7 separate regions of the Mus musculus genome follow, and all the other regions are reported to be linked to region 2. Evidence: microRNA targets listed by miRTarBase, many of them from high-throughput screens and not tested one by one. Region 2 holds a microRNA gene; each other region holds the end of a gene's coding sequence. Distances are between the middles of the regions.

Region 1 (4,067 bases), 32 Mb from region 2:
AAGCAGAAATACATGAAAAAGTGGTGGAAAGAAGAGAGAACACCGCCGAAGCATTACCAGAAGGGTTCTTCGACGACCCTGAGGTAGATGCAAAGGTCCGGAAGGTGGATGCCCCAAAGGATCAGATGGACAAAGAGTGGGACGAGTTTCAAAAGGCTATGAGGCAAGTCAACACTATCTCTGAAGCGATCGTTGCTGAAGAGGATGAGGAGGGACGGTTGGACCGGCAGATTGGAGAGATTGATGAGCAGATAGAATGTTACCGCCGAGTGGAAAAGCTGCGGAATCGCCAGGATGAAATAAAAAACAAACTTAAAGAGGTTTTGACCATAAAAGAACTTCAGAAAAAGGAAGAGGAGAATGTGGACAGTGACGACGAAGGAGAATTACAGGATTTGCTGTCTCAGGACTGGAGGGTAAAGGGGGCTTTGCTGTAAGGTTTTGAAGACCCAAGCTTTCCATCAGTCCCCGCTGTCCCTTAAAAAGTGCTGTGTCCAAGTTCTTGGGTTCCTCTGACCTTGGATACCCCTAATTGTTGGGATAAAGTAAGCCAGTGAGGAGTAATACTTTGGGGATGGTACTGTGTGCGGTGCTATTTATTATAAAATGTTTGAGGTAAAACCGTTTTTGACATTTTTGAAATTATAACCACAAATTGCCAACTTTTTCATCTTTACAGGTTCAATGTGGTTTTTCAGTTGTAAAATCTAAGTTGTAAATATTGCACATAGCTAAGTATATATTTATATAAGTCACTCTGTTTTGATCCTTATATTAGTCAGATAAAAAAGACACATGTTTATATGACCTCGATGTATATATATTTTCAAGCCTTAAACTCCAAGGGTTGGCGCTTTGGGAAGGTTGTTTTTAGAAGGCCACTCATAAACACATATTCTTCATAAAGCAGTGGATGGGTATTCTTTTTTCAAAAGCATACAGATGTCCAGACTCCAGCACAGTGTTTCTTTTGACAAGATCAATGATTGCTAAGTTGTACATCAGTATCACCTGTGAAACTTTTGATTGTTCATGGAATGTCAAATCGCCTATGAAGCTTTAGTGCCTGAGCCCCATCTTAAAGAGGTTTTGACCATAAAAGATTCCATAAATTAAATGGGATCCAGATGACAATATTCTTGACTATTCCCAGGTTATTCTAGTATTTGCCCAGGTTGGAGATTCAGCTGCCTTAAGTGTAAAACCTATCTATATATTTTTCAGGCTTTGTTTTCCTTGAACATGCTCTGTAGTTTACTGTACTCCCTGCCCCCGAGTGCTGCTAAACAGATCAGAGCTATGGGAATGCTAGGCAAGTATTCTCCCACCACCAAGCCAGTTTTCAAATGAAGGAAATATTACCCCATTGAGTTGGAAATTTTATTTTTGTGGTAAATCAGGCTTGTGTTTACAGGTTCTTTCAATGGCAGGAAGATAGGTAAGTTGCTAGTAAGGCAATGCCAGTTACCTTATTCTAGTTATTGATATTTTAAAGTTTTCCTTGCTTTGGAGGATGAGTGTTTTATATACAGCATCTTCCAATTTACTATAATAGCTAAGACATACTGTTCTAAGCCTAGGCCAGTCAGGATTCTAAGCACTTTACATATATTAACCCATTCTAGCTCAGGTTTTATAAGGAAAACCACCAAGAAGAAAAGGCCTGAAAGCCTTGAAAACTGGATGTGGTGCCTCACCCCTGACATTGCAGCTTTTGGAAGGCTGAGGGAGATGCAGCCTGGACTATGTAGTGAGACCTTGTCTAAAATAAAAAAAAAAAAAAATCCTTTAATTCTAAAGAACTGTTTTTACAGGCAATGTGGAAATAAATGGAGGATTTGGGTTTTTTTAAACTGAAGAAGTCTGTGACAATTCGGTGTTATTCTAGTTGTAGTGTGTGGTATGGAAGAAGTCTAGGACAAGGAACTGGGAAATTATGTACACAACACTTCAAAAGTTAAGCGACTGATTAGTTATGGACTAAGAGGGTGGGAATAACAATTTCTCAGGAAGAGCTAACATTTAGTAACTAGAAGTAGAAGAAAAAAATGTAGAAGGGACAGGAATAGGAATGTCAAAGGACTTTTTTTTTTTTTAATGATTTATTTAAATATGCATTGGTGTTTTACTTACATGTATGTCTGTGGAAGGGTGTCAGATCCTCTGGAACTTACACGCCATTGTGAGCTGCCATATGGATGCTGGAATTGAACCCGGATCCTCTGGAAGAGCAATCAGTGCTCTTTAACCACTGAAGCATATCTCCAGCCCAGGATTTTCTTTTAGGTATGAATACCAAGAAGACATTGTCTGACTTGGTATGTGCCACACATGATTAATAATCTTGCTCCTTATGACACAAAGTCTGAATTCTTTTTTTTTTTTTGGTTTTTTGAGAGGGTTTCTCTGTGTAGCCCTGGCTGTCCTGGAACTCACTCTGTAGACCAGGCTGGCCTGGAACTCAGAAATTCACCTGCCTCTGCCTCCCAAGTGCTGGGATCAAAGGTGTGCGCCACCATGCCCGGCTACAAAGTCTGAATTCTTAACTGTCAACTATTAGCTATTTCAGTTTGAAAATTACAAAAAGTGCGCCACCACGCCCGGCTACAAAGTCTGAATTCTTAACTGTCAACTATTAGCTATTTCAGTTTGAAAATTACAAAAAGTGCGCCACCACGCCCGGCTACAAAGTCTGAATTCTTAACTGTCAACTATTAGCTATTTCAGTTTGAAAATTACAAAAAGTGCGCCTGCCTCAGATGTCTGACCCCCACACTGAGGATTTTCAGTCATCTCAGCATGCAAGGAAGAACGAGGCTGTGTTGAGAGGTGGGTGATGACCTCAGGAGCACTTTCGGTACAAACACAAAGCTGGGTATTGTGGGTCATATCTGTAATCCTTTTTTTTTTTTTAAAGATTTATTTATTTATTTATTTATTTATTTATTATATGTAAGTACACTGTAGCTGTCTTCAGACACACCAGAAGAGGGAGTCAGATCTCATTATGGATGGTTGTGAGCCACCATGTGGTTGCTGGGATTTGAACTCCTGACCTTTGGAAGAGCAGTCGGGTGCTCTTACCCACTGAGCCATCTCACCAGCCCCATATCTGTAATCCTAACACTAGGAAAAGGAGAGGCAGGAGGATTGTTATTTTAGGGCCGTACATTTGACAATAAGACTCTATTTCAAAAAACTAAAGCACAAAAATAAAATACAAATCGTATTTTAAATCTAGTAGCCATTTTTAAAAGAAACAGGTGAAGTTTTAATGTTTTTAGGTACTCTGCTAAATCTAAAATATTATTTCAGGGAAAAAGACTACTCAATACTTTTGCGTACATTTTTGAAATCTAAGTTTATCTAGCAGCATATATATATATATATATAGAGAGAGAGAGAGAGTGAGAGAGTGTTCAATAGACATCAGCACAGATCTAATATACATGCAGAGGAAGTAGTGAGCAGAAGGTTCATTAACTACTGGCAGCAGAGGAGGTTAGGAATGGTTAGGTGTGGCTTATCATTGAACATGTCATGATGTAGATAAGATTTGCTTTGTGTGTGTGTGTGTGTGTGTGTGTGTGTGAGCACACACACATCCATAGAGACCAGAGAAACAGCAGTGGGCCACCCAGCATGCATGCTAGAAAATAAACTCAGGTCCTTTAGAAGAAGCAACAAGTGCTCTTAACTACTCAGCAATCCATGCCCTTCAGTTAACATTTCATTGAATGATTCTTCCAAAGCCATAAGAAATGTTAGGTGTGTTCATGCACATGAACTACCATGGCCTTTTTAAGAGTACCAAGAATCTCAAAATCTGATTCAATGGTCCTTAGTAGTAGAGAAGGACCCATGATTATATCCGGTGCTCAGTGAGTCCTTGAGATCGAGGGAACAGCTATGGGAGTTGAGCAGCTCCACAAACTTTAAAGATTATTACATGATCTGAGCAGAGTCAGATTTGATGTTCAACTGTGCTGTTCTCTATTTAAAACGGTCCAGTCTACCCTAACTTGGAAGAAAAAGAATGCTAACCCAATTGGCCTTCAAATGTACAT
Region 2 (4,067 bases):
CCTGACAACCCAGATGGGAGTGGCTCCAAAGAACCTTTCTAAACAAGTCCACTTCTCCCGAATCCTTTCTTTCCCACTACTTCTGGTGGGTGGTGGGCTACAAGGGAGGTTAAAGCATTTAAGAACCACCATTAAGGGCCGGCGAGATGGCTCAGAGGGTAAGAGCACTGATTGCTCTTCCAAAGGTCCTGAGTTCAATTCCCAGCAACCGCATGGTGGCTCACAACCATCTGTAATGGGATCTGACACTCTCTTCTGGTGTGTCTGAAGTCAGTTACAGTGTACTTATGTATAGTAATTAATCTTTAAAAAAATCATTAAAAGTAGGATTTGAAAAAAATTAAAAAGTTACTGGAAGAGTATACAAATATCATGCAGGAAGCCCTGGGCTCAATCTGCCCCCAAAAGTTTCCATTGCTACACTCTGGACTAAGGTTGCACTAAAATTCCTGGAGGGCAATCTACATGTGTTCTAGAGCAATACCAGATTCCTTATGCTCACCTCCCATCCACCCCATTGCCAAGAATGTTGGCTTAAGGTACTGTGTGCCACAGCCTATAGGCTGGAGCTGCTCAGGAGACTAAGATGGGAGGAGGATCACTTAGGCCTAGGAGATTTGAGCCAGCTTAGGCTAACAAAGTGAGATCAGGTCTCCAAAAACCCAAGTAAGGGGCCTGAGATGGCTCAGTGAGGGAGGGGCCTGCTGCACAAGCCTGAGACCCTGAGTGCAGAACCCCAGTTCTCATGGGATTGAGTGAGTGTGGCAGCCTGCATCTCTAACCCCAGTGCTGACACGGGACACTGACACACACAATCTGCAGGGTACAGCAATGTCTGTCTGGAACTTAAGGGAGAGACAGAATGAGTAAGATCCCTCTGCCCTATCTTCATTAATACAACACATGACTTTCATAGCTGGCCAGAAGTCGAGTGGTACCCAACTCCCACCTTGTTCACAGAGTGCATCTCTGGGAGCTCTCTCTCACCTTTGATGTCACTACAACTCCAAGAAGACACTTCCCTGGCAAAGGTGGGGGTAGAAGATCCCTACAGCTTTTTGGCCAGCTGGCCTTTTGACTCTGCTAACTCCAGGTTCAGTGAGACTCTGACTCAAAAAATAGGGTGGAAGACCAGGCAGGTTGGTGCACTTTTGATCTCAGCACTCTAAGGCAGAGCAAGTGGATCTCTGTGAGTCTGAGGCCAGCCTGGTCTACAGAGCTAGTTCCAGGATAGCCAGGACTCCATAAAGATACCCTGCCTTTATGTTTATAATAAGTAAACAAACAAGTAAGGTGAAGAGTGATCAAGAAGATACTGGAGGTTAGCTTTTGGCCAGAGGTCACACTACCCATACTCCCACCTTCCACATAGAAGCCAGAAACATATGATTATAATCCGGCTGGAAGGCTAAGGCAGGAAGCAGGCAGATCCCTTTGTTGTTGTTTTGTTTTGTTTTTCCAGATAGGGTTTCTCTGTGTAGCCCTGGCAGCCTTGAACCAGGCTGGCCTCGAACTCTTGAAACCCACCTGCTGCCACTGACTGGCTCAGGAGGATTCTTACTAGCCTGGGCTACAGGGTAACCTGGGCTATCCTGTCTCAAAAGGACCTAAATCAAAACAAAGATTTAAACAAAATGAGGGGTGCGATTTTATGATTGAACGTCTTCCCTCCCCCAGAACAGTGCCTGGAGCACAGTCAATGCTCCGGAAACTTCCCGTAACTGAACACACTTCACTGTCTACACCACCTCTACCCTAGGAGGCCTGGCAGGGAGGCATTGTGAGTCACAGCTGGCAGACAGGTGGGTGCCATAACCCAGAAATGGGGCCAGGCCTGGGACAGCAGCTTGGGCACCGCCACCACATCTTCCAGGTGAGGAACAACTCACAAGGAATGTCAGGAAACAGTCTACTGGGGAAGTTGTAACCTCAAAGATGGATGTGTAGGGACTTCCAGAGACTCGCTCCATGAGTTAAATCAGGGGGTGGGGGAGAACACCTGTCTCTGCCCACCTGCACAATTCTGTTGGGTTTAATGAAGGTGTGGCAAAGGAAACCCGACAGCAGTTTTCACTCCTGCCCTCGATGGCAGGAGAGGTATTTGAAAAACCACACTGTAGAATCAGCACTTTATAGGTGTTGTGAGAAGAGTTAGGAAGCAAGTAAGATGGGTTCTGGTAGTTATCTGGGCTTTAGATTCCTATCAGTAGTTGGCTAGGAACAAAAGTTAACTCTAGTGTGCAGCATTCTAGTTACTTGAAAGCTAAGTATGGGTCTAGGCTAAGGCACCTACCTGTCTGTCCTATGATGTCATTGATTACACTGGATGTTAATACACGCCTTTCCAGCTGGACCAGGAACATCTTGAGGATAGACAAAGGCTGTGCTTGTGGTATCCTCTGTGCAGGCCAGACCTGGCATGGAGCAGGTGCCAGTGCTAGAATGTGCTAGACATCTCACCAGACAGATGCTCTGCCGAGTTCACACTAACCCTGACTTTGCAGCCATCAGCAGCCTCCCTTAAAGAATGACAACCACAATGTTCAATTTCCCTGTACTGTACCGAAAAATGCCCTCTGGCTCACCTTTCTAGCCTACGTTTCTGCTATTCTCGGAACCAATCCTATTTGTCGGCTCTTTCATGCATCTGGAACATGACAGCCCTTTGCCTCACAGCTGTCAGCAAGAAAAGGCCTGTCCTACTTGCTTGGCTACTGATCTCTACTTGTGGCCCCCTACCTGTGGTCTCTTCCAGCATTTCAGAGAACGTGGTTTCTGGGCCTTTACATTATCTCTTTTTTTGTTTGTTTTTCGAGATAGGGTTTCTCTGTGTAGCCCTAGCTGTCCTGGAACTCACTTTGTAGACCAGGCTGGCCTCGAACTCAGAAATCCACCTGCTTCTGCCTCCCAAGTGCTGGGATTAAAGGCATGTGCCATCACTGCCCAGCCCTACATTATCTCTTACACACCTACATCCTAGATAAAGGGTCCCGGGGAGGTAATTTTGGTGAACACGGCTGGTGTGACTATGCAGGAATGGGCTCCCCTACTAGCCTACAACTGCAGAGTCTAGCCTGAGCAGGCCGCTCACAGGCCATTTGCTTTCCAGCAGTGCCACTGGCTCGCCTTCACCATTCCAGAACATCAGGGTTCCAGACACCCGCGCGCCCCGCGTGGCCCACACCACCTTCACCCTGGAGGCCTTTGAGTGCCTGGCGGCGAGCCAAGCGGGCCGCCTGTGGAAACAGGTGAGGCAATTCTGGGTCGACCACTTCTCGCGCCGCTTCTCGCCGCGGAGGCCACCGCTGCGCCATATCTCATCCATGTCCACCTTCTATCTGCTGGACCACCGCACGCGACAGGCCGAACTGGGGCTCAACTACGGCGAGCCGCGCACCCGACTGAGCGACGAGGCCTTCGTTTTCCGCGGCGGCCGCTGGACCCCAGAGGGGAAGCGCGCAAGCGCGCGCACGCCTCTGCCCTCCTCCACCATCCCGGCCTGGAAGCCACAAGTGCAGCCGATTAAGAGCCAGGTGCTGCTGGAAGAGAATAACTACCTGAAGCTGCAGCAAGAACTGCTCATGGACATGCTAACAGAGACTACGGCGCGCATGCAACTGCTGGAGAAGAAGGTGGACGCGGATAACAACCCTGCGGCCCCGGCGCGCTCCTGGAAGAGAAAGATGCCCAAGCAAAGGGGCGCGGGAGTACTTATAATCCAGCCGCGCGCTCTGGAGTCGCGGTGATGCAATAAAGTTGTACCTAAAGCAGGGCCGCGAGTACGCGCCTCGCCTTGCCCCGCCCCGCCCTGGTGGCCCGGGTGGTCCACTTCCCTTGAGCATCCGGGTTTTCCTTGGGTGGAGCTGCGTGTGGCAGAGATAAGTAGGAGGGGGAGTTAAAGCGCGTGAGACGCTTGGGCAGTGCGGGAGAGGGCGCTTGGATTTTTCTCCAAACCTTAGGTTCTGCTTTCCCACACTCTTTGTTTTGTTTTCTATTGGCGAAGACTGTGATTTTATCATACGTGGAATAAAGACTTCTGTTTGACCCAGCATTAAAAAAAAAAAATG
Region 3 (4,067 bases), not on the chromosome of region 2:
CCACCTGGGCCTGCACACACACACACACACACACACACACACACACACACACACACACACGCCCAGAGCTCCAGCATCTGCCGGCTCGGCTCCCGTTCTTTCGCGGGTAGGGGGAGCCCCTCACCAGTACATCACACGGATCAAGATTCTGTTGGGCGTTGGGACGTCCTCGCTGGTGGATGGGATCTCCTTAGTGGAACCGAAGCTGGGTGCTGGGGAAATCGTGGAGAGCTTACCCAGACCAGGGGTTTCCTTCAGCGGGGAGGCCAAGAACTCTAGTGTAGGGTTGGGGCCCGGAATGGGGCCCAATGTACTGGAGGCCATGGCAGTAGAAGCCAAGGAGTCTATGGGAGAGGCGGTGTCCGGTATGGAGCCTTGTGTCTTGGAGGACGAGGGAGTGAGCACTGGAAGGGGCCCCTGGATGGCCTCCGCTAGGCTGTGGATCGAGGGTTTCTGATTTTGAGCGAGTGTGGGATCCTTCAAGAGAGCGCTAGCAGCCCTGGAAGAAAGGGGCTGTGCCGTGGGCGAGGCCAAGCTCGGGAAGAACCTGCCTGGAGAGATCTTAGGAAAGACCCGACCTAGATTCGGGGCCCGGACTGGTGCTGGAGTCCGCACCGGTGCTGCATGCCGGACTGGAGCTGGAGTTGGGGCTGGGGTTAGGGTTGGGGCAGGGACTGGGGCTGGAGTTGGGAACCGGATTGGAACAGGGTTAGGGACTTGGGCAGGAGCCCGGACCCGGATGGAAGTTCGGACTGGAGTCGAGTTGTGCGCTGGGTTCGGGGCCCTGACTGGGGTCGCGGTTCGGATGGGAGCGGGTGTCCGGGCCGGGGTGTTTGCCCGGACTGAGGAGGGAGCGGGGACCCGCGCCTTGTTATTCATGGGGACCAGGTGAGACCCGGGTACCCCAGGCTAAGCGTCCCGCCTCGCCCTGCTTCCTTGAGCGAGGAGAGCTTTCGCACCCGAGGATTCTAAAAACCGAAGCAACCACGAGCAGGCACTGTTACACCGGGTTCCAGTCAGGCGGAGATTCCAAGCTCTGCGCCAGGGAGGCGCTGCTGTCTTCAGATCTCACCGAATAGACACCGCCCCTGTCCCTATCCCCACCCAGCAGGAGCCAACTCTGCCTAGAGCTTCCCATTGCCACCCTGACACTCATGCGTTTAGCTGGTTGAGTTCATTAAGCGCCCTCCTAGCGCTGGGGATTCCGGGGACAATGCATCTCTGCCCTCCTTGCTTCCTGCCCATGATAGGAGGTCACACCCAGTATGAGAGTGACAGCCTAAAACCGTCAGTGCAGTGGAGAATACCAGCACCCATATAATTCAGAAAGGAGGCACCTCTCTGCAGGATACGAGGTCCGGAGAAAAATAGCGACAACCCACACAAATAATCCAATTTACTCCCGGGGAGTGGTCAAAGTGAGACTCTGTCTTCTTCATGCTGTATCCCCAGCTCCTAGAACAAGACCTGGATCAACCAATCCTGTGGAACCCGAGTTAGGGAGATAAAGTGGAAGCTGGCACCAGGAAAGGGGACAAGTTTGAGAAGTGGAGTATAGGCAAAAGGCAGAGGTGACAAGGATTGGAGCCAGGGACAGTGACCATGTAAGGCCGACTAGACTTCATTCTGAGGCTCACAGAAGGATGACTTAACAGGGGTTGTGGCTCAGTTAATAGAGTTTTCATAGCATTCACAAAGCCCTGGGTCCAAGTCCCCCGTGCCACACAAACCAGTTATGTTGACTCAGGATTGTAGCTCCAGCACTCAGGAGGCAAGTGGATCAAAAGTTTAAAATCACTCTCAAGTAAAAAAAAAAAAACAAAAACAAAACAAAAAAAAAAAAACAAAACCAACCAACACCCCCCCCCCCAAAAAAAAACCCTCAGGATGCACATAACCCTGTTGATGTCTCAAGAGATGTCAGCCTCTGCCTGTGGCTTTGGGGCAGTATTTCTAAGCCAGGGAATATCCTTCTGGAAGGGGGGTGGGGCATACATAGACCAGCCAATCCACAATAACGTGGATAGTGATGACAGCCTGGGGCCACATTGTGTCAGTTCTGCCCCAGGAGGGCTATTAACTTTATCTGCCTGACCAAGACCTCATGAAGACTCTAGGCCCCAGAATGCAATGTACATTTCGTGACCATTAACGTGCTGTGTTGCCAGACGTCAGTGCAGTGGGTGCTTCCACAGGAAGAACACACAGATGTTTGGACTAGGAATTGACCTGGACCCTGGCACATCCCCTTCTCTAGTTGGCTGGGTTTTAAACGTATTTTTTGTTTTGTTTTGCTTTCTGTTATCTTTGAGAAAGACACACAGCTATATAGCTTAGGCTAGCCTTAAACTTACAATCCTCCTGCCTCAGCCTTTTTTCCCCCCCTTTCTGAGACAGGGTCCCATTATGGATCCTTGACTATCCTGAAACTCGCTCTGACAAGGCTTGTCTTGAACTCACAGACAACCACTGCTCCTGCCTCCCAAGAGCTGGGGTTAAAGGCATGTGCCATCGTGCCAGAATCTCTTGGCTAATTTTAATTATATTTTAATCTAATTACCTGTGCTACAGCATAACCACAAGCCTAAAAACTTTTAGTGAGCCTTCTATCAAAGGACCAGGCCTAGTCCAGCGTGGTGGTGCCTGCCTGTAATTCCCAGTGTGCAAGATGCAGACGCTGGAAAGCTGCTGCAGTTTGATGCTAGCTTGGTTGGCAATCCAGTAGATCTACAGAGTGAGTGGCTTCCAGGGCAGCCAAGGCTACAAACCCTGTGTTGAAAAACAACACAACTGGAGAGATGGCTCAGCGGTTAAGAGCATTGACTGCTCTTCCAGAGGTCCTGAGTTCAATTCCCAGCAACCACATGGTGGCTCACAACCACCTGTAATGGGATCTGATGTGCTCTTCTGCTGTGTGTGAAGACAGAGCCCTCATATAATATAAGTACCTGTTTAAAAAGAAAAAAACAACAGAAAAGAAAGGAAAGAAGAAAGAAAGGAAAGAAGAAAGGAGGTGGCTCTCAACCTTCCTAATGTTTCAACCCTTCAATACAGTTCCTCATGTGGTGACCCTCAACCATAAAACCATTTCATTACTACTCCATAACTATGACCTTGCTGTTGTGATGAATCATAATGTAAATATCTGATATGCAGGATCGGTGATGTGTGACGCCTGTGAAAGGGTTGTTCAACCCCCGAAGGGGTTGCAACCCACAAGTTGAGAGCTACTGGTTTATACAATGAGCTCCAAGCTATCACAAGATGCTGTCTCAATTTAAGAACAACAAAAACCTACTATTCCCCTTATGAGACAGCTCTCTTAGTTTCAACATCAAAAACAAAGTTCACCTGTTGGAGTGGTGCACGCCTTTAATGCCAGCACTTAGGGGGCAGAAGCAGGTGGATCTCTGTGAGTTCGAGGCCAGCCTGGTCTACAGAGTTCTAGGCTGGCCAGGGCTTTTACAGAGAGGAAACTCTATCCTGGGAAAATAAAAAGTTCTCAGCCTGATGTGGTTGAGCAAAATAAGAACCTTTATAGATGTCTCTGGGGAGATGAGAAAAACTAGGTTATAAATAAGCAATATGTACAATAAAGCCCTTTCAAAGAGTCTCCAGTCGGTAGGGGGAGGTAGAGATTGGACACCACAAAGTAAATAAAATCATTCAGGCTCCATCTCCAGGCGATGATAGAGAAGGGACAAGATAGAGAAGGGGCAGGATCAGGCCTGAAAAAAGAAATGAGAAAGAAGCGTTAGAAAAGATATTGAGGGTGGGAGGAGCTGGCTGCCACTGAGCCAAGTGTCCAAAGCCTGGAACGTGGGAACGTGGGTCGAGGATACCTCTCGTGCATAAATGGAAGGGGCTGGTATGACATAAATGGATCTAGAGTCTCCATCTTCAGGATGATTCCAGTCAGCCGACGAACTGTGGGAGGAGAGAAACGGGGGACAATTCAGACCCCACGAATTCTCATTTTTTTATTTCCCACACCCATCAAAGAGGGAAACCGCAGACTGGCAAGGGAGAATTCTGCAATGACCCCATCAGAAGAGGGCTAGGGCTAG
Region 4 (4,067 bases), not on the chromosome of region 2:
ACCAAGTTCTTATGTTGCCAAATTCCTCTGAAAATCTCCCAACCTTTCAGTTGGGTATTAACACCTGACATGTCTCTCTTCAAATCTCCAGCAGAGTTAGTTATCTACCCACATACACACAAAATAAAACATTGATTCTTTTACATGTCTCTTAGTTTCCCAGCTGCCTCTGGGCCTTGTCAAAACTCCTTTAGATTCTTTAGCCTCATTTATAGCAATAGCCAGTACTGACCTAGAACTATACATGAGCTTATTGGGGGTTACTTACAGGAATACAGGCAACTCAATAGCTAGCTATACATAAGAGTCTTCTAGCAACTGTTTAACATTCATATAACCTTGAGGGGAGCAGCCTCATGAACCTGCTCTGGCTCCAAATGGAAATGTTAATAGGCCCACTGTCATGAAAATGTCTTGGAAGCAACAAATGCATTGCTTCAAGATGGCAATAATCCTCAACCCTGAGGAAAAGGCCTTATAGTGCTATAGAAGTAGAGTTTAAGGAAAATTGGAGTAGCCCAAGCCAGATTTTGAGTAGCCAACAAAGTTCCTCAAGGTCTGTCAAATTCCTAACACATACTCTCCTTTTAAAAAACTGACTTCTTTCTCCAGTGTGGTTTTAGTTGTTTGGGTTTTAGCTTTTTTTCTGAGTCAGGGTGTATTCCTTGTGCACATGCATTTAGGTGCCCACATCTGTGTATATGTATATGTAGGCCAGAGGCAGTTGGTATTTTTATCAGTCTCCACATTTTTGGTTGAGACAAGGCCACTCATTGAACCTAAAGCTCAGATATCTTGGCCTGTAACTATCAGAATATGCATGCTATCGCTACCCTTCAACACTGGGGTTAGTTATACATGCTGCCATGCTTTTATTTGGGCACTGGCAGTTTTGAGCTCAAATCCTCTTGCTTTCACACCAAGCTCTCCTCTTCCCATTAAGCCATTTCCTCAGCCACTTTCTTCTATGTTTTAAAGTCAGGAATATACCATATGACAGAAGTTAACCTCAAACTCAAGATCTTGTTTCAGCCTCCTGAGTACTAACTACACAGTATCATATCTACCTTGGTTGTTCACCTTTCAACAGCTACAAACTGGCGCAGTGCAAAAAGGCAACAGAAGTGACTAGCAGATCATGGGGAAAGGCCAGGTGCTATGATATACACCTGTGATACCAGCACTCAGGATGCTGAAGGACTGAATGAATTACACAGAGTGACCTTTTCTCCAAAAACAAAACAAAAACAAAAACCCAAAAAACAAAACAAACAAAAAAACAAAAACCCAACCAAATAAAAATCACATAAATAAGAGCCATGACTCAGTGGGTAACAGCACTTGAAGCCATGTCTGAAAACCTGAGTTCAACTCCCCAGAATCTACATGATAGAAGGAGGGAACCATCTTCCTAAAGCTGTGCTCTGAACTCTGCAGGCCATCATATGGGTGGGTACACACACACACACACACAAACACAATATATCTTTTTAAGGCAAACAAACAATGGTGTGTGTGTTGGGGGGAGAGGGGAGGAACATAGCACTGAGTTAAAGCCAAGTTGGGCTATATAGTTAGTTCCAAGTCAGCAAGGTCTGAGTGAAACCCTTAAGAAAGGGAGGCGGGGAGGAAAAAGAAAACAAGAGGTAGAAATGAGCATATAATGGTGAAAAAATTATTTTCTTTTTGACGTATAAGATAGTAATGAAAAGGTCAGCTTAGGAACTTTGAGAAGGTCATGAAACACTTGCCCCTCCAAAGAGGCTAATTAACATTTCTCAGATCACAGGGTGGGAACCAACCTGTGTTTGGGGACACATTCCATAGGACTATTGCTCACTTTCAGACATCGGAAGTCCTTGTCACCTCATTCCCTAAAGACCAATCAGTTTAAAGGGTGCACTGTTCTGCCAATCATATTGTGCCTAGTTGCTGATGCTCTATTCTGCCCCTAGAAACCATATAAAAACTCACCGAAGGGGTTCTAGGGGTTGCCGCCTCTCCTTCGAGTCTGGGGCAACCCCAGTGCACTGGTAAAATAAATTCCTCTTGCTTTTTGCATAGATCATAGTTCCACGCAGTTCACTCAGGGGGTCCCCAGTAAGCTAAGGCTCCTGGAGTCTTACAAAACCTCTTGCTTGTTGCATCAATCTCTGTCTCTGTGTTTCTGTGAGTGGGACATCCCAGACATAAGGCTCTTTGGGTCCTACATTTCCACTACTGCAAGAGGCAAAAGTTTTCTAAAAATAACCAATGCTCTCCTAGAAGCAAACATTCTGTTCCCAGTGTAGCACAGGCTGCCTTAGTCTCCCAGGGGTTGTGCCATCATATCTGACTTATCCACATGCGTCTATTAGTGAGGATACAAAACCATAGAGAAATGGAACTGAGAGGACTAAGTTAGCCTGAGTTAGGCTGCCTCCATGACAGGCTGCAAACTGGCAGTTTGGGAGACTAGGCCTAAGTTTCTGTTTCCCAGAACTGGAAAAGTCCAAAACAAGTCAATTCCAGAAAAACCCACCCCTCACGCATAGCCTATCGAGGAGTAGTCAGAAGCTGCCCCACTACCTAGCCTGAGCTGATAGTTAATCAGCAAAAGTCCCCCAAATCTTCCAGAGCCTAAACCAATCACAAAGGCAACCATATCCCTGGAGATATATCCAACCAATCAAGGGGAAGAAAGATAACCGTCACCACTACTACCCTAACAGGCTTTAAATTGATCCTGCAAGGTCCATATCTGTCTTTTATCGTCTTTCATCCCGATGTGTGGTAGACCCTTCCATGCTGGTTCTCTGCAGAATAAATGCTCTTTATTGTTGCATAGTTTGAATCTAGGGTATCATTTTTCAGGAATCACAGGCCCTTACAGAACCATGAAGACTTAAACTGTAGTTCTTTAAAAAATAAATGTTTATTTCAAGTATGAAAAGTAATGTTAAGACATCTTCCAAAAACTCCATTCACTTTAACAAAAGTATAAAACAAGACTTCTGAAAAAACCTTTACAATGAGGTACAAAATACTTGGAATATACTTTGACATTCACAATGGGCACTTTCTGAAAAATAAATTTTGCTAATGTGCTTAGAAACAAGAATCTATTTACAGCCCCAGTCAAACAACCAAGTTACCTCAGGATGACAGCATTTCAAAGTAAGGTTTGTATAAGCCACCCTCATTCCCCTTTTTTGGTTGCTGTTGTTTTGCTTTTAGAGAGAGGCTCCCATGTAGCCTAAGCTGACTTCACCAGACTCACTATTCTGTTGAGAATGACCCTGAATTCTTGATCCTCTTGTGTCCACGAGTCAAATGTTAGGGTCACAGGTATGCACCACTGTGCCAGCAAGACTTAAAACAGTAAACGTGAACCAGGCGTGGTGGTGCAGGCCTTTAATCCCAGCACTCGGGAGGCAGAGGCAGGTGGATCTCTGAGTTCAAGGCCAGCTTGGACTACAGAGTGAGTTCCAGGACAGCAAGGGCTACAGAGAAACCCTGTCTCAAAAAAAAAAAAAAAAAAAGAAAACAAAACAAAAAACCCAGTAAACACAGTTCAACAATGCAGATCACTGCATCATTAGCATACACTTTGTAATTCCCAGACAAATGCAATCTTTCTTTTTGCCTGCTCACCAGCAGCTAATCCAACATTTCAGTCACATAGTATCAGTGAAAAGCTATACAGGAACTCCTTGGCTGAGAAATCCCGATGTGACTGTCCTGAGGTATTTTCTGCAAGGGAGCCTGAAAAGAAAAGACTAGGGGTGTTCTCTTGGTAAAAACAAAAACCATGACTTCCTGGGACTATTTAACTGGACTACTCCCGAGGCTTCTGCTTCTCTTCTCAAGGTACATCTTTTTGTAGGTCCGGAACATGATATTTGATTCTTTTACTGGGTTTTGTAGTATTTCAAATTCATCTGCACTGAGGCTTCTCTTAGAAAGTCTTGAGTCAGCACTATCTGAGAAAATAAAAATGATACTTAATGTTCAGTACAACAAATATACAACAATCAGAAGTGAGACAAAATGTACAGTATCTGTATGGGAACAGAAAACAAAGCCAG
Region 5 (4,067 bases), not on the chromosome of region 2:
TTTCTGGATGTCCCCCATCTCCAGCCTATTACTCCCATGCCACCTACCACCCTCTCCACCCCAACCTCCAGGCCCACCTGGGCCAGCTGTCCCCACCTCCGGAGCACCCTGGCTTTGACACCTTGGATCAGCTAAGCCAGGTGGAACTTCTGGGAGACATGGATCGCAATGAATTTGATCAGTATTTGAACACTCCCGGCCACCCTGACTCTGCTGCAGGGGTTGGAACCCTCACTGGGCATGTCCCGCTCTCCCAGGGGACTCCCACAGGCCCTACAGAGACCAGCCTCATCTCAGTCCTGGCTGATGCCACGGCCACGTATTACAACAGCTACAGTGTGTCATAGAGCTGGAGGAATGGAGCCTGGCCCAGCCCTGCCATCCCCTCCTCCCTATGAAGCACTGAGCTGAGCAGAAACTGTGGCGATGCCACTCCTTGGTGGCAAGAGGTCAAAACTGCTGTTCCAGAGCCTTCCGGTCAAAAGCCAGGATCCAGCGCTCCTTCTGTCCCTTTAAATGTGTTTTGTCGGCTTCATCAAGGAAGCACAGCCTTGGGAGCTGTTTGCAGTAGGATTTCCTAGCCGCTCTACACCATCAGTGTAGCTGATGGGAAGAAGCCCAGTGCATTGGAGCTCCTGCTTTTGGTGTAGCTACTTCTGATCTGTGGTGCTCCCAGTAAGATGGACCCTGGGCCTGGGGTCCATCTCAGTTCAGTCTCTAACTGGCAAAACCCCACTCTGGCTTGACCAGCCCTGACTATTCTCTCCTGTACAGTGAGGGTTGGCTTCATAGCCAAGCCCTCGCTCTATGGATCTCCAAGTTACAGCCCTCTCAAGGCCAAGGAAAGTATGAATGAATGACTGCCCAAGGACCCAGGTTTTCTGCTTTCCTATAATACTGTCCACAGCCACCCTAGAATTCCAAAGAAACTCCTTCAGTCGAGAAAAATATTCACCTTTGGTCTGGCAAGATGGTGTGGGATGTCTCAGTGGGTAAGACTGCCTGCTGCCAAGTCTGATGACCTACGTTCTATATCCGGAGCCTACATGGTGGAAGAAGAGAACTGACTCCTGCAAGTTGTATTCTGACTTCCAAATGCACGTGTGCCCCTGCATTATATGTGTGCTTGAGCATGCTCACATGCACACACACACACACACACACACTAAATGTAATTTTTTTAAAGGAAAAGATCTACCCTGGTTCGGAAAATTAATGAGTATGTTCAACTGCATCACTGAAAGCAAAATCAGATTAGAACTTGTTTTGTTTTGTTTTGTTTTGTTTTGTTTTGTTTTGTTTTGTTTTGTTCTGAGACAGGGTTTCTCTGTGTAACCCTGGCTGCCCTGGAACTCACTGTGTAGACCAGGCTGGCCTCAACCTCAAAAGTAAGCCTGCCTCTGCCTCCTGGGTACTGGGATTAAAGGTGAGTGGCACCACACCCAGCCTGGATTTTTTTTTAATATATACTTTAGATACATTATTTTTGTTACATACATCTCAGGCGACTACAGTGTGAGAAATGACCTTATGCAGGCATGCCTATTCCCAACACTGTGCCCCAGGTGTGTACCCTGATTTAGATTCTTCTCAACTGTGACAATGTCTCATCCCCTCATCACAGAATGAACCAGAGAGCTAGAAACCTAAAACGTCTGTCCACAAAAGTGTTGGGGTGTGCTGATTTCTAGAGCAGAGCTGTAGCATACTCTTATCTACAGATGCAAAAGATGACTCTCTGCCCAATGTCTGCTGCCCCTTGCTCCCAGGAGGGCTTTTCTCTCTTCTCTGTTACTCTCCCTCCAAACTGGCCCCTAATTCAAAGGGCCCCTCGCTTGGAATCCCAGGCACCATTCCCCTGGGCGTGAAGGGAACTTGGTTCTTGTTTCTCAAGTGGATACATCAGAACAATCACCTATCCCACAGTCCTTTGGCTGTCCCAAACAAACACCCTGTGACACCCAAAGATGTTTCTGAGCTTTGGTCGCACCCCAGACATTTCCATTCTCTAAACCTCCTTTGAAGGAACATACCAAACACTGAGCTAACAGACTCTTGTCTGCCCTTGGACACGTGTATATTATTGCCTTTATGAAATGTGTTTTTATATTCTGCTATTATGTCCACCTTATATTTTGTATTGTTGACAGATCCCCAAGAAGTCTTATTATAATATCACTTATAAGATATACTTAATCTTTATGCTATTACTGTATATACCATTTGGTAACAAATAGTGAATTGTTGATGATGTAATTGACTGGTGCCCAGTCCCGGATGGATATTAATAATCTCGTGAAACACTATCACAGGCATTAAGCTACTCTGTTCCATTTTTTCAAGAAAACTAAATATGCATGGAACAGTTATGAAATTGATTTTTCAAAATGTTTAATTTAAATAAATTTTTTTGTACCTTCACCATTCTATCCTTTGAAATAGTATTTTTTTTAAATTCATACTAGGTCTCAGTGCTACCTGTAATATTGTTTGCGTTATTTTCTGAGTCGACTTTTTATTTTAAGGAGTTTTTGTTATATAGGGTTTTAAATTTCTTTATGAGTTGTGCTGAAAAGACAAACTTCGATTCTACACATTAGTGCTGTTTTTGTTGACATTGGAAAAGGAAAGCCATAGCAACCCACATGAGCAGTTTCTCCATGCCTATTCAGTAACTGCACGCTTCCCAAGTCTAAGCAAATGACCATCTTGTCCTCTCCCCTACTTGAGTGGTGTAGCAGTATGCAGTGGCCCTCTGGACTGGACAACATGCTGTCGGGGAGACAGGCACACAGCCTGGAATCAAGGTCTGAGACAGCTGGGAAAGTCCAGGATGCACGCTCAGTCAAAAAAGCTCCTGGAAAATCAGCCTGGCTCTGTCCCATGTATGGCACCTAATATGGGCTGCTCTTCATGTAAAGAAGGAACTTGTTTAAGTCAAAGGTAGCCATGCCCCTTCCCATGCTCCTCTGGGCCAACGAGGGCCCTCCTGGGTTTCTGCACATCCTTCTCTGCTGATCATAACCCACACCCATTATTCAGTAGCACTTCATTGTTGTTGGGAGTGTTAGAGAAGGTTTCTGAACTGTTTCTCATCCACAGCCCAGGTGGGCCTCATCATTCCCACCACATTACACAGCCAGGGACACTACAGTTCCGAGTGGGAGATGGCGTGAGACTCGCCACCCTCCTAGGATGTTGGCTTCAGCACCCATGAGGCGCATTCATTGGGAGCATTCATGGCTGAGGGTTTAGTGCTTCTCCTTGGTCCTGGTTTTGGTGTTGGAGATGTGGCCTCATGTTGTGGCTCAGACTGACCTGGAACTCACTAGGTAGCCCAGACTAGCCTTGGACTTGTGGAAACCCTTCTTTAGCCTCCTTGGTTCCATTCTCTGTGCCTCACTGGGGCATGGATTCAACTGCTCCTCAATCCATGACCATCTCAGGCCAGAGAAGAAGAAAGCAATTATGGGTGACAATTGAGATGACACAGAGCCGTGATGCTCTGCACCTGGCCAGTGGTGGCCATATGCAGAGAGCACTGAGGTACTATCCTTGGCTATACTGAGCTCTGAATTGGCAGTATCTGGTCAAGGTATGCCCCTTGGCACTGCCCAATGGGCATGCATCATTGTAACACACAGTGTGGTTACACTGTCCATGCCGATGAGACGACAAGAAGGCAGGAGGGTTCTCTGCTCTGAGTGGGACACTGTGGGAACCAAAGTCTCTGTGGGTCCCAGCTACCTGTGCACCCTGCCTGTGGTACTCAGGTTACAATGTGACTGATGTCATCTTACAGGATGACAAGCCATGACAGCAAGTTGTTTTTCTAAAATGCTGACGTTCCCATGTCACTCTTTGCCTTAAGATCTCTGTTCCTGTTCCTTAAGCAGTGAACAACAAAGGTGACCCACTTTGTGGCTGAGGAGCCCTGTATTTCAACTCCCACTTGCTTATGTGCAGGGCAGTCTTTATTTTCACAAATGTTGTAGAAAGGGAAACACTTGTGTTCTTTTCTCTAAGACACACCCCCACCATTACATCTCCTGCCAACTATACAAACT
Region 6 (4,067 bases), not on the chromosome of region 2:
GGTTTGGGTTTGAAGCGCCATGGTTGGAGGTGGAGGTGTGGGGGAGGTTAGACTAGAATGAAGCATGAACTAAACCTTCTGTTCCTTCCGAACATATTTCAGAAATATGCCGAGCGCCAGGCCAGCAAGCCCATGATTCGTGATGGAATGGAGCTTGTTCCCCAGCCGGATGATGGCACATCCATCTGCCAGTGCCACCGGAGGAGGCCTGAGAGGGAAGAGCTTTGAGGAGACCCAGCTCCATACTCCTTTGTATGCCAGCTGCATCTTTAAGACTTGTGAAAGATGCTAAGCTGTGAAGGACCAGAGAAACCAGGCCTGGTGGGTTAGGCTCACACCCGCAATCCTGGCACAATGGAAGCAGAACAAGAGGATTTCATTAGTGCAAAGCCTACCTGAGATTTGTGGTGACTTCCAGGCCAGCCCAGCTTACCCAGTTGGATCTTATCAAAAGACCAGAACAAAAAAGAAATGTAGAGAAATGCTAAGCTTTTAATCCCACACTCGAGAGCCTAAGTCAGGAAGATCATGAATTTCAGTATTATGAAATATCTTTGGAGTTGCTTGTTTGTGCACCCTAGTGGATAAAAGGCTCATAAATCACTGGGAATCCGTGGGTGGCACGCTCAGGTGCACTGGCTTGCTTCTGTCTTTATCCAAGATAAAAGTCGAATTCACTTACTTTTATATTCAATTATGAAGGGCAAAGTGTTTGGGGAGGCTCGACTGTCTCCTCCCTGTGTTGTTTCTCCTCTTGGTTTTTTTGGTTTTTTGGTTTTTTTTTTTTTGTTTGTTTGTTTTTTTGTTTGTTTGTTTTTTGGTTTTTCAAGACAGGGTTTCTCTGTATAGCCCTGGCTGTCCTGGAACTCACTCTGTAGACCAGGCTGGCCTCAAACTCAGAAATCTGCCTGTCTCTGCCTCCCAAGTGCTGGGATTAAAGGCGTGCGCCACCACCGCCCGGCAAGAATTTGTATCTTTAACTAGATCTTAGAAATATCAGCATGACAAATATCCCATATGGACATGAGAAGAAAGACTGCCTCCCTCGCTTCTACCTCTTTAACCACAGGTTCAGAAAGAAAAAGGTATTTTGTTAGAGACACATTAATTTTTTTAAATTGATGTCGTTTGAGGCTGAATAGTCCTAGCAGAACTAGGAGAAAAAGAAGTTGAAACAAACTAGGCAGTTTCTATTGACTTGTCCGATTCTCATTTTGAACAGTCACACCTTGGAACATTGCACTGGACACAGAGTCTTTGACACACAAACCTGCAGGGGACATTTTACATCCAAACCGTAACAAGTCTATCAAGAAATCTAGGTTAACTCCACTTGACCGTAGCCTTTGAAATGAGTTTTACATGGCTTTATGGTTCATTAACTTGCACATACCTTAGGGGAACCAGCTGGTTTATTAAGCTCCAATTCCTTCCCTTCCAACTTAACCAATTGTCCATATAGTCCATTAGCCACTTTTAATACTGAAGTATTTATCAAAATATATCTGGCTTCAGGGCCCATGAGTTAAGAATAAGGAGAAACCCCCAGAGAGGGACTGGAGGGAGAAAGGGGACAGTGATATAATTATACCTTAATTTCAATAGAAGAAAGTTTTATATGACTTTCAAAAAAGGGAGGGATGTAAGGCTATAAAGATATAGGTGTGTTTATTTGAATAAACTGTCAACAATGTTTATGGCTTGAAACACTGGCCGTCACCCATCGGTTGTGAGCGCATTGCTTGCATAGCTACTGACATTGCTCGCATAGCTACTGACGAGTGGAGGAATTGAGCACCACCATCAACAAGAAGAAACCAGTTTTAATTATGCGGGAATGAAAGCTTTCCATGACCAAAGGCACAGGACAGAACGTGAAGACATTTCCTAAAAGAAAGGGTTGGTTGGGAAGAGTACAGAGAGAGGGGGATTTTTATTTTCGCTTTATACCATTTTATAATATCCAAATTGGTTTTAAACTATGGATATAGAATCAAGCTGTAAAATAAGTGTTAACATGCTAAAAAATAAATAAATAAATGCACAGAGGAGACGATAAGAAGGGGAAAGAAACAGATATTTATGTTTTCCACAATGCCATATTAAGAATCCATGTCTAGAATGTTGTCCTGTGGTTTTATTATATACTCTTTTTTTTTTTAAATAAAGCACATTTTTATAATAAGAAAGGGAACTCCATGTACTTTAAGATTCATACCACCTGCACCCTGATATGTCTCTAAGGCTTGCTTATTTCTTAAAAAAATATATTTTCTGTGTCTGAGTGTTGCCTGCATAAATATTACTACCCCACACCTTGCCTGGTACCCACAGAGGCCAGAAAAAAATGGATTCCCCGGAACTTAAGTTACAAATGGCAGTGAGCTGCCATGTGGGTGCTGGGAACTGAACCTGGGTCCTCTGCAAGAGCAGCCCGAGCACTGAGCATTCCCTCTGACCCTGCTCTAGCTTTCTCTCCATTATGTCCTCATGAATAACTGAACTAAAACTGCTGTCATGGCCATTCTGTCCCTATTGGGCAGAAATGGGGGCAAAGTGCTTTATACCACTTTACATTTCTAACATGTGTCTCATTCCACTCTTCTAATCCTGCCCTTTCTGCTTTTATTCCTCCCCTGTGCCTTCCTGACTCCTCCCACACCAATCATTAATCAAGAAAATGCCCTCACAGACTTGCCTCTAGGTTAATCTGATGAAGGCACTTTCCCATTTAAGGTTCACTTTTCCCAGAAGACCCTAGCTTATATCAAGTTGACAGAAAGCTAAGCAGCAAACAGACCTTCATGGGCTCACATGTCTGAACGCTTGGTTCCCACTTTGTGGTGCTGTCTGCAGAGGTTACTGAGCCTGTAGGAGATGCAGCGGTGAGAGAGAAAGACCATCCCTGGGGAGCAGGCTTTGAAGGTTTACAGCCTGCCCTGCCTCCTGCTCTCGCTGCACTTCTGTGTGGCTCCTGAAGCCAAGCCAACCCTTCCCTTTCGTGGTGGCCGCTGGCGCATACGCAAAATAAGCTTTCTTCTTCAAGTTGTTGCTCTGGCATCTTGCCACAGCAACAGGAAAGTAACGGATACACGTGTTTTCCAAGGACTCGCCTTTACTGTAAACGACTAGGCGGCGGCAAGAAGAAACAAACTCCCTAGAGAAACACGAAAGCTGTCTTCCCACCACATCAGGCCATCTGCCCAGGTTTCATGTCCCACGCAATGAGTAAGAGCCCCCTACCACGACACACATCACTGCCCGCAGACGGGGCTCTGGGGTAGAAGCTAAAAAACCATCCATGGACAATTGTTTGCCCTCTGTGCCAGGACTCTAGCATTTGGGGTTGGGGGAGGGGGGCGGGGGAATTCACCAAGCAGTCCACGGTGTGAACCAGTGTGGAGTGGAATGGTGCCTCGCAAAAGGAGTAATATAAATAAATATTTTGCTCTTACTGGCATTATGTTATTTCTGTTACTAATGGGAGCTCATGGATTTGGACAGCTGCACTGGGCCCAGCGAGCCGGGTGAACATAGAGATTGATAGTAGCTAACCTGACTGGGCTTGTTGCAAAAGTCCCTGGAGCTAATTAGCCAGAAAATGAGCTGTAACAGCTGACTGGCTAACGAGGCTGTATATAATCAAGTTATTTTCGAAGTTCATTTCTGTTTCTTATAAACACTGGTGCTCAGCGAAGTTCCCAGAAAACCTTTCGCCCCTGGTAGATTCCTGTCTATTGAATAGATTTGTTGAGTGTTTCTGCTCGGCTTGAGTAAACCTTTCTGACTTTACTGTTCTAGGGAATTTAAGCAGTTTTGGCCTAGTCATCGGGGCCTGAAGAGGAAGCACAGCGGCCCCGAGAATCACTGGGTGAGTTCTCCACCAGGCGCGCCTTTTCTCAACTTTCTTCGATTTGTGATCCGAGTTTGATTGTTTGCTTTCTCAGTGGAAGAGCATGGGGGTTCATGCCTTCTGGGTAAATGTCCTACAACTGAAGTATTATAATCCCAATTTTGTACTATTATTATTATTATGTAAGTACACTGTTTCTGTCTTCAGACACTCC
Region 7 (4,067 bases), not on the chromosome of region 2:
CTGGGTACCGCTCAGCCAGCCGGTTGTTGGGAGTAAAGTCCTTGAGCCATGTTGATAAGGGCCGAGTAGTCACTTATTATCTTCCTTTAGATTCAAAAATTGTGGGCCCCAACAGAGCTGGTGGTGAATGGAGAGAGGAAGGAGTTCCCTCCGCCTGTCCTTGGGAAGGACTACAATTTTGTAAATGGGTCATGCATGCTCTATGAAGCCAACCACGTGCGTGAGTGCCTGCGTAAAGGTGAGGAGGGGCGGAGGGCTGCACTGGGGCTACATCTGAGGGGACTGTTGTGTTCTAGCCTGCCCTGAAACGCAAGTAGCTATTTAGAACTACATCTCCCAGGATTCAGAGAGATAGCCACCTTCTCAAACTACCCTGCCCATGCCGCAAAGACTTCTGGGAATTAATAGTCCTCTTGCTGTCTGATGCGTGCGTTTTAGACAAGTCTTCCTGTGGTCACTCTTCCCAGGTCTTAAGGAGAGTCCTGTAGTTCCTCTGGCAGAGAGTGAGCTCTTGGCTGAGATCCTTGAGGAGGCGAGGAAGGCCATTGGAGTCACCTTCCCCCAGGATAAACGCTGATACAGCTCCTGCGACAGATGTGTGTGGCAAGCAACCTTCCCTCCTGCTTGGACCTCTGTAACCTGACTCTCATTGCTTTGGAGTTGTTGTTGTTGTTGTTGTTGTTGCTGCTGCTGCTGCTGCAAATCAGCACGTGTTCTCTCCCTTTCTGGGTGTTGGGAGCCAGCTTTGATGAGTCAGGGTGTGGAGTCAGGGGAGTCTACAGACACCAAAGCTTCTTTCTAGGACAAACAGGTTCTCTCTTTACTTTAGGGGGAAACACACGCACACGCACACGCACACGCACACACACACACACACACTTGATGGATGAAGCTAGGCTCCAACAACTTTATTTTTCCCCCATATCCCCCAGCAAACTCTTTGAAGAAGTATAAAAATTACAATGTGGTTACATTCTATCTTTAAGTGGATGAATAAATGAAGTACAATGAGTTCAAGTAAAAACAACAACTACAAAGCCCAGCAGGCCCCCAGCACCCTTACACAATTAAGCAATTTATATATTACATGCAGAAAACAGATTATTAACATGAATCCACATACATTCCTGTCTAAGCAACTTGTTATAGACTAACAAACTGTGGGTAAAAAAGGTATTTTTTTCTCAGCCAGTTCTTTGACTGGCAAGCTGCAATTTGTGATTATGAAGAAAGGAACAATCATTTTGTTATTTGTCCTGAAAAGTAATTTTTAAAATTATTCACTTTACACCCCAGTATCAGCCCCACCTATCTCCTCCCAGTCCTCCCTTCACACAGCTCAGCTCCCCCCCCATTCCCTCTCTTCCTCTGAGAAGGGGGAAGCTCCCCTGGGTACCACACACACACACACACACACACACTCACACACACACACACAAACACACTCACACACACACACACACACACACACACAGCATATGGAGTCACTGCAGGACTAAGTGCATCCTCTCCCACTGAAGCCAGATGAAACAGCCCAGTTAGGGGAATGGGATCCACAGGCAGGCAATAGATTCAGGAACTAAATGTAATCATAAAAAACTTAAAGAATCACAAATCTAAACTTTTATATAAAAAAAACAGTCCTTTCTACTTTAAATCCTCGGGTACATAAACAAAAACCTGTTTCTGGTTGCGGTGTGGTTCAGCCCTTGGCATATACACCTTTAATTCAAAACAATGGAGGTAAAGTTAGTTTGTAAAAGGAAGCACCCATGTTTGAAAGTGATGTCTAATTGAGTGGCAAGCAACAAATCAGATTTGACAGACTAGGATGTGCCCAGCTCCCATGAGAGCAGAGAGGAGAGAGAGAGAGACTGCTTTAAGAGAGCAAGGCAGGGCGATAGGAAGGAGGAGGAGGCAGGCTACTGCTACAGAGACAGGTTGAACAGAGAACAAGCTAGACTCAGGGGAAGACAGAACAAGCCAGGGAGTGAGAAGGAGCCAGAAGATAAGAACACATTGCCAGAGTTAGTTTGAGGCCAAGCAGAACAACCCAGTTAGAGGCTGAGAGAAGCCAGACTGGATCAGTCAGCTTAGAAAGGAGTTTGAGCCAGAACAACTGAGTTCAGAAAGAAAAAGCTTATTCAGAGTAAGTCTCAGAGGCTGAAACAGTGTAGACCTAGATAAGATTGTGCGGAGGCTAGAAGCTTGCAGGCCTAGGGTCAACTATCAAAAGTGTGCTCTTCTAAATTTAAATTGTTCCCCAAGATTTTCTACATTAACAAAAAAAAAAAAATCTTTTTTTTTTTTTTTTTTTTTTTCAAGACAGGGTTTCTCTGTATAGCCCTGGCTGTCCTGGAACTCACCACCCGGCTAACAAAAACATCTTAACCTAACTATACTAACTACATCTCTAAATTCTTTCTGAGGCCGAATCCTTTTTTTTTTTTTTTTTTTTTTTAATTTATTTATTATTATATGTAAGTACACTGTAGCTGTCTTCAGACACACCAGAAGAGGGAGTCAGATCTTGTTAAAGGTGGTTGTGAGCCACCATGTGGTTGCTGGGATTTGAACTCTGGACCTTCGGAAGAGCAGTCGGGTGCTCTTACCCGCTGAGCCATCTCACCAGCCCAGAGGCCGAATCCTTAATCTGCTCCAACAGCAATGCTCAAAAGAGATCAATCATTATTATTGTAAGAACCAATGATACTTGCTGAGGTGATCTTTATGTGCGCTTGCGCTGTGCAAAGATTGTCTCTGTATTATTCAAATGCTGGTTTCTGAGTAGGCAGGCCAGATTTTGGTATTGTTAATCATCACCTGTTGTAGTGTTTTGTAAACACTTCCTTCAACACTGCCTGATTTAATAAAGAACTGAGCGTGGTGGCTCTTGTCTTTAATCCCAGCACTCGGGAGGCAGAGGCAGGCGGATTTCTGAGTTTGAGGCCAGCCTGGTCTACACAGTGAGTTCCAGGACAGCCAGGGTTACACAGAGAAACCCTGTCTTGGGAAAAAAAAGAAAAGAAAAAAAGAACTGAATGGCCTATAGCTGAGACAGGAGAAGAAAGGCAAGGTTTCTGGGGAGAGTTAAGAACTCGGGGAAAGAATCTGAGGCAGGAGATTTGCCAGTGAGACACAGAAGAAGCCAGAGGAGAAATAACAAGCCACGTTACAGAACATAGATTTTTTTTTTTTAAAGATTCATTTATTTTATGTATGTGAGTACACTGTAGCTGTCTTCAGACACACCAGAAGAGGGCATCAGATCCCATTACAGATGGTTGTGAGCCACCATGTGGTTGCTGGGATTTGAACTCAGAACCTCTGGAAGAACAGTCAGTGCTCCTAACCACTGAGCCATCTCTCCAGCCCAGAACATAGATTAATATAAAAGTGTTAGTTTATGTTATAAGAGCTAGTTGGGAACCAGTAAGCTAAGGCCTGTAAAGCTTTTATAATTAATAAATGGTCTCTTTGTCATTATTTGGGAGCTGGCTGGCCTAGAAAGTCCTAACAGTTACAGACACTGCCCAGTGAGGGACTGGAAACCCCCTTAGAGTTTCCATACAACCCGTAGATTATGGGCAAAGTGGTGACCTCAAGGGCAACAAGCAGAGAGAAACTCCATAAGAGAGTCAAGTCCTCAGAGCATGGAGTCCTTGGGACCCTGCCTCTCCCAGGCACACCTGCGGTGATTACGCTAACCACTGGGCCATTTTCCATGAGTTCCAAAGTTGCTTCTTGTTCCCACACAGCCCCTGACATCTGGGCTCCTGAAAGTCATCTTGCCTTTGTTTTCTCTGTTAACCCCTAACCCTGTCTGTCCAGCCTCAGCCTCACCAGGCTGCTTCTTTGGAAAGAATGAATGAAAGAGCTTCCTGGTGCAAGGGTACCTGGGTGATGGGGAGCCAAGGGGAACCTCAGTCATACCATGCAACACTCCTCCTCACACAGGATTCTTGGGGAGAAACCCACAACGGCAGCTACCTCTGACCAGAACAGAGACAGCCCTGGGCTGGGCAGAGGGGCAGGCTTGGGTAGGGTCTTCAGAGCATGCACAGTGC

The links. The annotated mature microRNA mmu-miR-804 reads UGUGAGUUGUUCCUCACCUGGA and lies in region 2 at 1,869-1,890, opposite strand. An mRNA with a match to its seed (bases 2 to 7 or 8) in the 3' UTR can be bound and repressed. Matches are read on the target gene's strand: a 7mer-m8 pairs with bases 2 to 8, a 7mer-A1 pairs with bases 2 to 7 and ends in A, and an 8mer does both.
Region 1: miRTarBase lists Zfp830 as a target of mmu-miR-804. Seed matches in the 3' UTR shown: 7mer-m8 at 2,430-2,436.
Region 3: miRTarBase lists Dll3 as a target of mmu-miR-804. Seed matches in the 3' UTR shown: 8mer at 3,412-3,419.
Region 4: miRTarBase lists Resf1 as a target of mmu-miR-804. Seed matches in the 3' UTR shown: 7mer-m8 at 3,461-3,467.
Region 5: miRTarBase lists Sox7 as a target of mmu-miR-804. Seed matches in the 3' UTR shown: 7mer-m8 at 1,351-1,357.
Region 6: miRTarBase lists Poglut3 as a target of mmu-miR-804. Seed matches in the 3' UTR shown: 7mer-m8 at 865-871.
Region 7: miRTarBase lists Dhdh as a target of mmu-miR-804. Seed matches in the 3' UTR shown: 7mer-A1 at 1,420-1,426 and 7mer-A1 at 1,444-1,450.

The regions. Positions count from the first base shown.
Region 1 is chr11:82,765,027-82,769,093 of GRCm38, forward strand. Zfp830 (zinc finger protein 830) reads left to right here. Exons shown (of 1, transcript NM_025884.4): 1 at 1-2,596. The coding sequence ends at 437. Among named protein-coding and RNA genes, the nearest start is that of Zfp830, 2.7 kb to the left of the region's middle.
Region 2 is chr11:50,355,931-50,359,997 of GRCm38, forward strand. It overlaps Mir804 (microRNA 804), which reads right to left and starts at 1,949; the gene lies at 1,855-1,949. Cby3 (chibby family member 3) reads left to right here and starts at 1,831. Exons shown (of 2, transcript NM_029691.1): 1 at 1,831-1,873; 2 at 3,110-3,772. The coding sequence starts at 3,324. The coding sequence ends at 3,746.
Region 3 is chr7:28,290,199-28,294,265 of GRCm38, forward strand. Dll3 (delta like canonical Notch ligand 3) reads right to left here. Exons shown (of 9, transcript NM_007866.2): 8 at 3,843-3,927; 9 at 3,357-3,728. The coding sequence ends at 3,723. It overlaps Selenov (selenoprotein V), which reads right to left and starts at 988. Exons shown (of 6, transcript NM_175033.4): 1 at 125-988. The coding sequence starts at 879.
Region 4 is chr6:149,334,487-149,338,553 of GRCm38, reverse strand. It overlaps Resf1 (retroelement silencing factor 1), which reads right to left. Exons shown (of 5, transcript NM_026054.3): 5 at 2,891-3,962. The coding sequence ends at 3,805. Among named protein-coding and RNA genes, the nearest start is that of Gm38930, 16 kb to the left of the region's middle.
Region 5 is chr14:63,948,313-63,952,379 of GRCm38, forward strand. It overlaps Sox7 (SRY (sex determining region Y)-box 7), which reads left to right. Exons shown (of 2, transcript NM_011446.1): 2 at 1-2,420. The coding sequence ends at 347. Among named protein-coding and RNA genes, the nearest start is that of Sox7, 6.6 kb to the left of the region's middle.
Region 6 is chr9:53,399,585-53,403,651 of GRCm38, forward strand. Poglut3 (protein O-glucosyltransferase 3) reads left to right here. Exons shown (of 8, transcript NM_212445.2): 8 at 103-2,283. The coding sequence ends at 228. It overlaps Mir130c (microRNA 130c), which reads right to left and starts at 1,302; the gene lies at 1,221-1,302. It also overlaps a transcript of 4930550C14Rik not described here.
Region 7 is chr7:45,471,776-45,475,842 of GRCm38, reverse strand. Dhdh (dihydrodiol dehydrogenase (dimeric)) reads left to right here. Exons shown (of 7, transcript NM_027903.4): 6 at 91-238; 7 at 468-2,280. The coding sequence ends at 577. Among named protein-coding and RNA genes, the nearest start is that of Bax, 6.9 kb to the right of the region's middle.